Oryctolagus cuniculus: one gene and its partners. The protein of the gene in region 2 interacts with the protein of the main gene of each other region in a pairwise test. Links are inferred from orthologs where the notes say so. Each region holds a gene or a part of one and is shown on either strand. Other genes may lie near its edges.

Region 1 (3,646 bases), on a different chromosome or scaffold from region 2:
CACTGTTCTCCCTTGTTTATATGGTAGAGATTCTTAACAACCCCAGTCTATAGATGTGGAAACCCAGCAACAGGGAAGTTAAGCAATTTCCTTAGACATATATTGATTAAGTAGCAAAGTCAGGATTAGAACCCCCACTGATATTTCTACACTCTACTCATTGTCCTTCTAGCTGTGCGAGGTGGGATGCCAATGAGAAGTTAAGACTGTAAGCTAGTTCATTGAGTATGATTCATGCTTGAAAACTATGAGAAGGTACTATATAATAAATGACATCCTCTGCAACATGCTTACAGAATATTTGACAGTTTCCCAGGAATTTTTTCCCTTGTAATATTCTTTTTTTTTTTTTTTTAATAGGCAGAGTGGACAGTGAGAGAGAAAGACAGAGAGAAAGGTCTTCCTTTTCCGTTGGTTCACCCTCCAATGGCCGCCACGGCCGGTGCGCTGCGGCCGGCGCACCACACTGATCCAATGGCAGGAGCCAGGTGCTTCTCCTGGTCTCCCATGCGGGTGCAGGGCCCAAGCACTTGGGCCATCCTCCACTGCACTCCTGGGCCATAGCAGAGAGTTGGACTGGAAGAGGAGCAACCGGGACAGAATCTGGCGCCCCGACCGGGACTAGAACCCCGTGTGCCAGTGCCGCAAGCGGAGGATTAGCCTAGTGAGCCGCGGCACCGGCGTCCCTTGTAATATTCTGAGTGGAGATTACAAAAAGGAATAGAAGGTTCTGCTCCTGTGGGCCCATATAAATTCATGATAAACTGATTATTAAATCCTCCCAGTATCTGACTAGTTACGTAAGACTGGGAGCCACAGGTCAGTATTACAGGATTTGGTTTTGGATAGTTGACTTAAGGTCCTTCCTTCTGAAGGCAATTAGTAGCCCCTTTATGAGGATCACCCCTAGTCTGTCCAATGAAGTCATGTCATGAGGACGTTTATCTCTTTATTCTTTCGGCGAGGTAATCAGAGGACTGAGCAAGTGCATCCAGAAGTAGAATCAAGTCTCCATCGAGAAATCAGTACTCATTCACACACAAGACAGTTCCACTGACCCCGAGTCTCACTGCTACTGGAAAGTAGAGGCTTTTTAAAGGTAAGCAGTGACTGGAGGGAGCACAGTGTACTGTTACACAGTCATTATCAAACTATGTTCCTGGAATGCTGGAGGGGCATGGGGAATATTCCTTAGTAAAGGTCCACTAACCCCTTCATTGAGATAGCTGCTTTATGTTTTCAGGATCCTTGGCTTCTATCTGAAACAAAGTGCACTGCTGCTTTTAAAAGCTTATAATAAAAAAAAAAGTTTATAATCATCACTTTATTTTCCAACTCTTTGGGATATTGTTTGGTTTATTCATTAGGTCCAAAATCATCAGATATAAAAATTTCTTCTATTAATACTTATAACAAGAGCAAATAATCACAGAAAAATTGACTGCAACTACCTGTAGACATGTGTTAGACACTTGCTCCAAATTAAAACAAACACACCACTACTCTTGTACACATACACACCTCTGCTTTACTATAGCCTGTTAACAATCATACTACCTAGTTCCAAAGAAAATCAACAGCTGTAAAGTCAGTTGCCACCAAGGTATTTTTGTTAAAATCAAAATCTAACTTCCCTGTTTCTATTTTAATTCCTGGCCCCTCAATGCAATATAAATTTAATTAGTGACCTGGTTCTCATGGTTTAGCCTTGCAATATATAAAAAGATTATTATATTATATAGAAAAGGCCAGAGATTATGAAATTAACTCACCAAAATGATTTGAAGAAAGACCTCATATTGTCGCACATTATATAGTGCTTCTTTCAATTTATATGGCTGAAGGTCTATAGCCACGAGTGGATTATCTGTTGCTTTCTCAAGGATGGCTGTGTAGCGGTGTGCCCAGTTCTGGGCAATCTGAAGCTGAGAATCCACATGGTGAGTGGTGGCTGGGATTGCTTCCTGTAGAATAGCTGGCACTGTTTTTCAGAGTACAAGAAGACAGGCATTAAGGAGTCTAAAAAGAATTAAGGTGGGAACATCTACAACTAGTCATCTTTCCACAATTAAATTGAGCCCAGTTTTTTCCCCAGATTAACAATAATCAGGTATGTATTTCATGGATCCTCCACCATGAAGAATAATTTAAAAACTGCCCAAACTAAAGATATATCAGAATGAAGACCAAAAGTTACAGCAGATCAGCCATGCCGCTAAAATACAGAGGAATTTCTTCAACAGGTAGACGCTGATATTATGTATTGCTGATATCATGCCTCTAAAAAAGCCATGATCCCTCCTTCTCTTCTCTTCTTTAAAAGGCCTCAACAGTCAGGGTTGGTCCAGGCAGAAGCCAGGGACAAAGAACTCCATCCTAGTCTTCCACATGGCTGATAGGGGCCCACACACATGGGCCACCTTCTGCTATTTTCTCAAGCACGTGAGCAGGAAGCTGGAGTAGAAGCAGAATAGCCTGGGTCCGAGCCAGCACTCTGATACCAGCGTTGCAAGCAGCTTCACCTGTTCCGCCACAATGGCGGCCCCTCTATCTTCTTTGCAAAAATGAAAGAGAAAAAAGTGTGCTTCTTAAGTAGTTCTGGATGCTGAAAATTTTCAGAATAGTCTGGAAAGGGAGGGAACTTTATGAAGAATAGGAGTTTGAGATTTAAAACAGTTTTTAATTTTTAAAATTTCACTTGAAAGGTAGAGACCCACAGAGAGAAGTAGACAGATATTTTCCATCTGCTGGTTCCCTCCCCAAATTCTTGCGAAAATTGGAGCTAGGAACTCAAGCCAGGTCTCCCACAGAGGTGGCAGGGACTCAATTACTTGAGTCATCTTCTGTTGCCTCTCTCAGTACATTAGCAGGAGGCTGAAATCAGAAGTGTAGTTGGGGCCAGCGCCGCGGCTCAATAGGCTAATCCTCCGCCTTGCGGCGCCAGCACACTGGGTTCTAGTCCCAGTCGGGGTGCCAGATTCTGTCCCGATAGCCCCTCTTCCAGGCCAGCTCTCTGCTATGGCCAGGGAGTGCAGTGGAGGATGGCCCAAGTGTTTAGGCCCTGCACCCGCATGGGAGACCAGGAGAAGCACCTGGCTCCTGGCTTTGGATGGTGGTGGCTTTACCCATTTTGCTACAATACTGGCCCCACTAGTAGTTCTTAAGAAATAGTCAAAATCAAAAATCTGAAATATGAAATGTAAGTAGTGTGTTGTATGTTATTTTCCTCACTGAGCACATTAAATTTTAATTAGAATTAAAATTAATTAAATTTAAATGTAAATTAAATTGAATTAGAATTAACCTAATACATGATACACGAAATTTGCTCACTTTATAAAAATTAAAAACTATAAAAAATAAATAAATGACATCCAAATTGCAAAAATAAGTAAATAAATAAATAAATAAAAGAATGAACCTGATGGAGAGGCCAGTGCTGTGGCACAGTGGGTTAAAGCCCTCTGGCCTGAAGCGCCGGCATCCCATATGGGCGCAAGTTCTAGTCCCGGCTGCTCCTCTTCCAATCCAGCTCTCTGCTATGGCCTGGGAAGGCAGTGGAAGATGGCCCAAGTCCTTGGGCCCCTGCACCCACGTGGGAGATTGGAAGAGGCTCCTGGCTCCTGGCTTCGGATCGCGCTGCTCC
Region 2 (3,646 bases):
AGGGTGGTGGGTGGTGGGTGGTGGGCGGTGGGTGGGCGGGAGGGGAAGCGGATGGAAAGGGCCCAGGGCCCCCGCAGAAGCTTTGCTCAGGAGGCCCCTGAAAACGTTTGTGGCAAAGTGGAGTTGAAAGGTGTTTACTGGGGTGCAGAAAATGTTGAAATCCATGCATAGGAAGGATCTTCAAAAAGCTCCTGGGAGGGAGCGCTGTGGCACAGCGGGTTAAGCCACCACCTGCCATGTGGCCATCCCGTATAGTTTGGTGGCTATACATTAAAACAAAAAAAAATTATTGTATTTAGTTGAAGGAGAGAGTTAGAGACGTAGGGACAGAGAAAGAGGTTTTCCATCTGCTGGTTCACTCCTCAAAAGGCCGCCAGGGCCAGGGCTGGGCCAGGCAGGCTGAAGCCAGGAGTCAGGAGCTTCACCTGGATCTCCCATGTGGGTGCAGGGGCCCAAGCACTTGGGCCATCTTCCACTGCTTTCCCAGGTGCATTAGCAGGGAACTGGATGAGAACTGGAGCAGCCAGGCGTGGAACTGGCACCCATATGGGATGCTGGTGCTGCAGGCCAGGGCATTAACCGGCTGTGCCACAGTGCTGGCCCTGGTTACTACACTCTTACATCACAAGAACCTATGCCCATTGGGGCCAGTGTTACAGTGTAGTGGATAAAGCTGCCGCCTGCAGCGCCAGCATCTCCTACAGTCACCGGTTCAAGTCCTGGCTGCTCTACTTCCAATCCAGCTCTCTGCTAATGTGCCTGGGAAAACAGCAGAAGACAGCCTAAGTCCTTGGGCCCCTGCACCCACACGGGAGACCTGGAAGAAGCTCCTGGCTATGGATCGGTCCAGCTCCAGCAATTGCAGCCATTTGGGGAGAGAACCAGTGGACAGAAAATATCTCTCTGCCTCTGCCTCTGTATAACTCTATCTTTCAAATAAATGTATCTTTAAAAAAAGAGAGAGAGAGAGAGAGTCCTTGGGCCCCTGCACCCATGTGGGAGACCAGGAGGAAGCTCCTGGCTTCAGATCGGCACAGCTCCAACCATTGCAGCCATTTGGGGAGTGAATCAACAGTCGGAAGACCTTTCTCTCTCTCTCACTATCTGTAACTCTATCAATAAATAAATAAAATATTTTTTAAAAAGAGATATGTTTATTTTTAAAAAAGAGTATCTGTCTCCCTCTGCAAACACCATACCCTGTGCCTCTCTAGTAGATAAGGAAGAGACACGCTACAAAGAGAGCAGGAGGGGCCGGCGCTGCAGCACAGTGGGTATCGCGGGCATCCCGTACGGGCGCCGGCTCCAGTTCCAGCGTCTCCACTTCTGATCCTCTCCCTGAAAGCAGCAGAGGATGATCCAAGTGCCTGGGCCCCTGCACTGCATGGGAGACCAGGAGGAGGCTCCTGGCTCCTGGCTTTGGATCAGCGCAGCTCCAGCAATTGTGGACATTTAGGGAGAGAACCAGCGGATGGAAGATTTCTCTTTTTCTGTCTGTCTGTAACTCTTTCAAATAAATAAATAAATCTTAAAAAAAAAAAAAAGAAAAAAGCTCATAGGAAATATGTGTTAGAAAAAAAAACTATGCATGAATTTCAAAATCATTTTGTACCAAAATAAACATCTTTTAATGACATTTTCGCACTAACTCTGAAATCTCCCTCATGCCAGCTCTGGGACACCCTGAGGCTGCTGGGTCACTGGACATAAGCTGCTCAGGTCACTTGGGGTCACTGAGGCCACCAAGGAGAGAGCTTCCACACCTGTGATTGTGTGCACTGAACTCAGGAGGTCTCATCTGGGTGTCAAGGTGACACAGGCCTAAACCAAGTGGACGGTACCCTGGGAGCAGGACACGGTAAGCACAGCCCAGCCTGCTGCCGGGTGGCAGGATCTCTTGGGTCATAGCCACCCCGTTCCTGGGATGTAAAGGGCACCTCTGGACAGCTCTCCCTCCCTCCCCGAGCCCCCTGCAGACCAGTCAGCACCATCTGGCAGCTCAAGGCCTGGGCCAAGTCCCCTCTGTCCTGGGTGACGCAGAGAAGGAGAAGGGCGGGAAATCTTCCAGGGTGGGAGTGACTGGTGTTTGCTGACCCCATGACCCCTGCCCAGGGGAGGGGCCGGAGCACTCACCTTGGGTGAAGGGCTCCCACTGGTAGAGCTGGCCCATGAACTCCTGGGAGTCGAAGGCAGCACACTGCAGTGCCCTGGGGTCTGGCTGCTCGGGCGGGCAGGGCTGCGGGGAGGGACAAAGGAGTCAGGGTCAGGGAGGCAAATGGGGCTCAGGGCCAAGGCTGGGCCTGGGGGGAGGGGTCCACAGAAGACTTCCAAGGCCCCTTCCCCAAGGAGGTCAGAGGCCGGGGCCTTTCTCCGCCCTGCTGGGTCAGACAAGCTGAGTGCCCCGCCCCAGATCAAGGGGACAGAGTGGAAGCTGAGTTGGGCAGTGAGGTCCAGTGAGGAACTCACCACTTGGCTGCAGGCTCTCAGCTGCTCGGTCTCCCCAGAACATCGCGGGACAGGGCTGCTGGGGGCAAAGAGGCTCCAGAGAGAACTGGAGGGGGGTCCGTCGCTCAGCAGAGGCAGCCAGCCATTCGGCTCCGCGGGGGACCCCCGGAGGCTCCCCCCAGGCCTCCAGGGCCCCCAGCTCTGCTGGCCCCAGCCCCGAGGGACCGAGGGGAAAGGGTCAGGGGGTCTCCCTGGCTCCCGGGGGCGGGCCCAGCCCTGGGAGCTCGGTATTCTTGGCTGAGGGGACAGGTGGAAGGGGCGACTCTCCCCGGAGAGGGTGGGCGAGAGGGGCTCAGTGCGGGGGGCCTGGGCTCCACGGGACGGCTGCGAGGAGGCAGCCCTGGCTCGGGGCAGGGCAGCCTCGGTCTGAACAGTCCCTGACCCTGTGGGGTGTGCCGGGAGGGATGAGGTGTGGGCAGGCAGTTCTGTGGGGGGCAGTGCAGAGGGCAGCTCGGCCCCGGGAGTCAGGGGCGGCCGCCGGGGGTGCCTGCGGTGGCGATGCAGCGGCAAGGCAAAGGGCACTCTCCCATAGCCGAACATCCCAGGCTTGATGGGCTCTCGGACCCGGGACCTGAGAAGGTGTGGCAGACATGAGTCACACACATGAGTCAGACACGCGGGGCACGCTCCAGCTGTCCCGGAGCCTGTCTCCCCATTCCACTTCCTGGCACCCGAGAGAAGCCTCTGGAAGCCGCGTGTCCTTTGCTCCCCTTCCCTCCACATCAAGCCCAGCCCCTCACCCAAGGCCCGCCCCTTCCCGCAGAGCCTCACCTGCGGGCTCCTGCCACCTCCTGTGTGTCCTCCCTGCCCGGCAGGGAAGCAGGACCTCGAAGCGGGCCCCCCCTTCCCCGTGGCTGTGGCCTGTACAGGGGGTGGGTTTCTCCCAAGGTGTGGGGTCTGGAGCCCTGACCGCGGGGGAGTTGGGCTTCTGGATGCCTTGGGGGCCGGGGAGGGGGAGGCAGGTCCTGGCGGGGCTGGCATATCCGGCTCCGGCGCTGTACCCCCACCCCACAGGGCTGGGAGCAAGAGGACCACTGGTCCCAAGGCCCCCAGACCCCCTCAGGGCCCTGGCCCTCCTCTGGCGGCATCTGTAGAGAGTGTCCAGACAGCACCTACAAAGAGAAAAAGGCCAGAGAGGATT
Region 3 (3,746 bases), on a different chromosome or scaffold from region 2:
GCCCCAGTGTCACTTCCCCAGAGGCTTCCTCAGCCCGGTGTGGGGTCAGGGCGTCCACAGATGAGCAGACTGAGGCAGGGGCCCGGCCAGAACCAGGTCTCAGGGAGTGGAGGCGTGCGACCACCCACAAGCAGGTGCAGGAGCAGGTGTGGGGGGAGGGCCTCTCTGGGCTGCCTGCAGGTGCACAGCTTGGTTTGGGGGGGGGACGCGGGTGGCTTAGGGGTGGCCACAGGCCACTCCCTGCAGGGCCATGGCCTGACGTGGCCTGACACAGCCAGCAGGCAGGCAGGCAGGACCAGCGGGAAGGGACTCCCAGCCCCAGCCCTCACTGAGCATGCTGGGATCTCAGCCCTGACTGGGGGGAGGGGGAGGAGGAAGACTGCCGGAGGGATCATGGGGAGGGGGCGGGGCCACAGCCTGCAGGTGACAGCCCTCCTCTGATGGAGGCGGGACCTCTCTTCAGGCTCAGCCACCTCTCTTGCCTTTGTTTTCCTGGCTGTAGAATGGAAAGCTGCCCCTTACAGAGCAGACCTGGGGTCAGTCAACCCTGTGCTCAACTGCTCGGACCTGTGCAGTAGCCACCTTCCAGCTCCATCCTGCCCGCCGTAGTCTTGCTTCCTGCGCAGCCTCTGCTCAGGACCTTCCTGGGAGCCCGTGTCACCCAGAGCCAAGGCCAGGTTCCCCGGGGTTCACACCTGTGAGCCCTGCACCATCTGTGCCCTCCACGGCCCAATCTCCTCTCTCCGTGCCTCCATCTCCTGCTGCTCTGAGCACCACAGGGCCTTTGCGCTTGCTGCTCCCTCCACCTGGACCACTCCCCTGCTGTTGCTCTGTTTCTCACCGTCTTCCGGGACCCCTGCGCCCTGCCACATTCTCCCCACCTAGCCCCCGGGGTCCTGGTTTTCCAAGACACATTCGACAATTCGCTCCATCTGCTGTCCCCTGGAACCTCCCCACTCCCCCAGCACCTAGAAGAGCAGTGCTCAGCACATCCTTGGGGCATGCGATCTCGGTTTTCCCACATGGGAGGGGCAAAGTCCCAGGGCAAGTCCCTGCACGTCTCCTTTGGGAACCAGGAGAGGGGTTTCCGGTGTCTCTCCAGGGATACAGCAAGTGCTCAATAAATGCAGCTGCTCAAACATCTTCCCTCATCCAGACACAGAGCTCGCAGGAAGAGAATCAGCCTAGCTCTGCCACCGGGGACAGCCAGGACACGGACACACACACACACACAGACACCCAGAGCCACAGGGACAAGGCCCTTCCTCCCCTGCAGGGTTCCAAGGAGGCCAGATGCAAACAACACACTGGTTCCCCAAACACCCAGCTTCCGCCCTGCCAGGAGGCAGGTCCCAGAAAGAGGCAAGATGGGAACTGTGGCTGGGCAGACCTGCAGGGCTGTCCTGTGGTCCGGCTGGAAGCCGTGGCTTGACCCGGTGCCCAGCACAGCCCAAATGCGGGTGGGCCTGGTGCCCAGCACAGCCCAAATGGGGCTGGGGGGGGGTGTCCTGCGGGGCGGCTGGGCCCCTCCTGACCTTGGCCAACCTGGGTCAAGCGCGGGTGGGGGCCAACTCCAACTCATTAGCCCCAACTGACTAGCTGACTTGAGACAAGTGTCTCCTTTACCTGGGCCTTTGCCTTCCTGGCTCAGAAATGGGTACAGTAACCCTTGGGAGCTCTCCTCGCTGGAACAGCCTTGGGGGGCGTTGGGGGGGGGGCGTACAGGGAGGGCCTGGTCCCGGAATCCTAATTCTGTCTGCCCCTAGAGAGAGGGCGGGTGTGGGCTGGTATAAAAGTTCTCTCCAGGAAACTGCTGCCACGCGCAGCACCAGCCCGGATCCTGGACGGACAACGCTCCCCGGGGGTGCTGGGGGAGAAACTAAGGCACGGGGGGCGGGGCGAGGCACCCAGCCCAAACCTCAGAGCCGCTGGGGCAGGGGCAGGCCGGTGGGGGCGGTCAGCCCCAGTGCGCCCCCGGAGACGCCAAGACGGCCCGGCCCGGCCCGGGGCAGGTGCGGGGCGCGCGGCCAAGGCCGGGGACCCGCGCGCGCCCCCACCCCCTCCCCGGCCCCGGCCCCGGCCCACCCCGCGCGGCCGCGACGCCTCTCCCCCGGGGCTGCGCAAACAAAAGGCGGGGGCGCGCGGCGCGTTACCGTTGAGCCGGACGGTGAACTGGCGGCGCTGCCGGTCGTGCTCCACGCGGATGGGGCAGCCCTGCTCCAGCGCGCCCGGCGGCGCGGCGGCGGCGGCGGCGGCGGCGGCGGTGGCGGTGGCCGCCGAGTGCGCCATCTGCGCGCGGGCCGCGGGCGCGGGCGGCGGCGGGGCGGCTGCGGGGCGGCGGCGGGGCGGCGGGGCGGCCGGGGGCGCGCGGGCGGCGGCCACACACACGCACAAAAAAGAGACGGCGGGGGGCGTCGGGGCCGCGGGGTCTCTGTGTCTGAGTGTCTGTGTGTCGGGGAGGGGGGCGGCCAGGAAATCAGCTGTGCGGTCACGTGCGGCGCGCAGCCAATGGGCGCGCGGCCTTTTTGTTTTGATACATTCCTGTCGGCTCTTAAAGGGGCCGCGCGCCTCGCGGGCCGCGTGCCGCTCGCAGCCCCAAACAAAACAACGCGCCGGCTGCTCCCCCACCTCGCGCGCTTTCTTAAAATAAATAAATAAATAAAATAAATATGGACACCCTCCCCCACCCCAACTTGGAGGGAAATTCTGATCGTCCTCCAAGGCAGCCAGCATTTATTTATTAGGCGCCTGCTGTATGCACCCAAGTTCTCAGGAGTCTGGGGCCGGCAGGGGCGCGTGGCGCCATTTTGCCCAGGGAGCCCTGGAGGTAGGGGGCTTTATTTCAGCCCTGCCACTCAGCGCAGGCGTCTGCTGGTACTTTCTTGGGCACCCTTGTCGTGAGCGAACATTTATCGCCACCTTGTTGTTTTATGGATGCCTGTTCCGGAGAGGGTCTCTGTAGACCTGGACATGGAGGTGACATGGTGGTCAGCACACCAGGGGGACCCCTGCATCCCATATGACGGCACCTGGCAGGGAGCTCCAGCTCCTGCTAGTGCCTGGAGGGGTAGGTGGTTGGTTTATTTTATTTTATTTATTTATTTATTTATTTTTGACAGGCAGAGTGGACAGGGAGAGAGAGACAGAGAGAAAGGTCTTCCTTTTGCCGTTGGTTCACCCTCCAATGGTCGCCACGGCCAGCGCGCTGCGGCGGGTGCACTGTGCCTATCTGAAGGCTGGAGCCAGGTGCTTATCCTGGTCTCCCATGGGGTGCAGGGCCCAAGCACTTGGGCCATCCTCCACTGCACTCCCTGGCCACAGCAGAGCTGGCCTGGAAGAGGGGCAACCGGGACAGAATCCGGCGCCCCGACCGGGAATAGAACCCGGTGTGCCGGTGCCGCAAGGCGGAGAATTAGCCTAGTGAGCCGCGGCGCCGGCCAGGTGGTTGGTTTAAAAACCCCGTGGGCGACCCGGGTGGCTCGTAGCTCATGGGTGGCTCCTGGGCTGGATTCCCAGTCTTCTGACTGGGGTGCGTTTAGTCTTGGCGGAGACCCCAGATCCGTGCCCGCGGTGGCCCCCATTGTGCCTCCCTCAGCCCCCAATTCTGAGTGTGGTGGGGATGGGGAGACCAAACACTACACTGGTTTCTCCGCCTCTGGGCTTTTGCACCTGCCCAAACAACACCTCCTCTGGGGAGCCCTCCTCCCTGCAGTCATAGTCATTTATTTATACATCTATCCCCAGCT

The links.
Region 1: the proteins of ADAMTSL4 (region 2) and CFAP206 interact in binary tests that used the Homo sapiens proteins (3 or more experiments, as listed by UniProt). The two-hybrid records come from large-scale screens. The link is inferred for Oryctolagus cuniculus from reciprocal best matches to the Homo sapiens genes ADAMTSL4 and CFAP206.
Region 3: the proteins of ADAMTSL4 (region 2) and NATD1 interact in binary tests that used the Homo sapiens proteins (3 or more experiments, as listed by UniProt). The two-hybrid records come from large-scale screens. The link is inferred for Oryctolagus cuniculus from reciprocal best matches to the Homo sapiens genes ADAMTSL4 and NATD1.

The regions. Positions count from the first base shown.
Region 1 is NC_091436.1:85,115,555-85,119,200, forward strand, and holds part of CFAP206 (cilia- and flagella-associated protein 206), read right to left. Parts: intron 1,982-3,646; coding exon 1,773-1,981; intron 1-1,772. UniProt on the Homo sapiens protein: Essential for sperm motility and is involved in the regulation of the beating frequency of motile cilia on the epithelial cells of the respiratory tract. Required for the establishment of radial spokes in sperm flagella.
Region 2 is NC_091438.1:47,449,188-47,452,833, forward strand, and holds part of ADAMTSL4 (ADAMTS-like protein 4), read right to left. Parts: exon of another isoform or gene 3,618-3,646; coding exon 3,277-3,617; exon of another isoform or gene 3,077-3,276; coding exon 2,467-3,076; exon of another isoform or gene 2,237-2,466; coding exon 2,134-2,236; exon of another isoform or gene 1,672-2,133; intron 1-1,671. UniProt on the Homo sapiens protein: Positive regulation of apoptosis. May facilitate FBN1 microfibril biogenesis.
Region 3 is NC_091448.1:65,885,472-65,889,217, reverse strand, and holds the start of NATD1 (protein NATD1), read right to left. Parts: upstream 2,492-3,746; 5' UTR 2,290-2,491; coding exon 2,154-2,289; intron 1-2,153.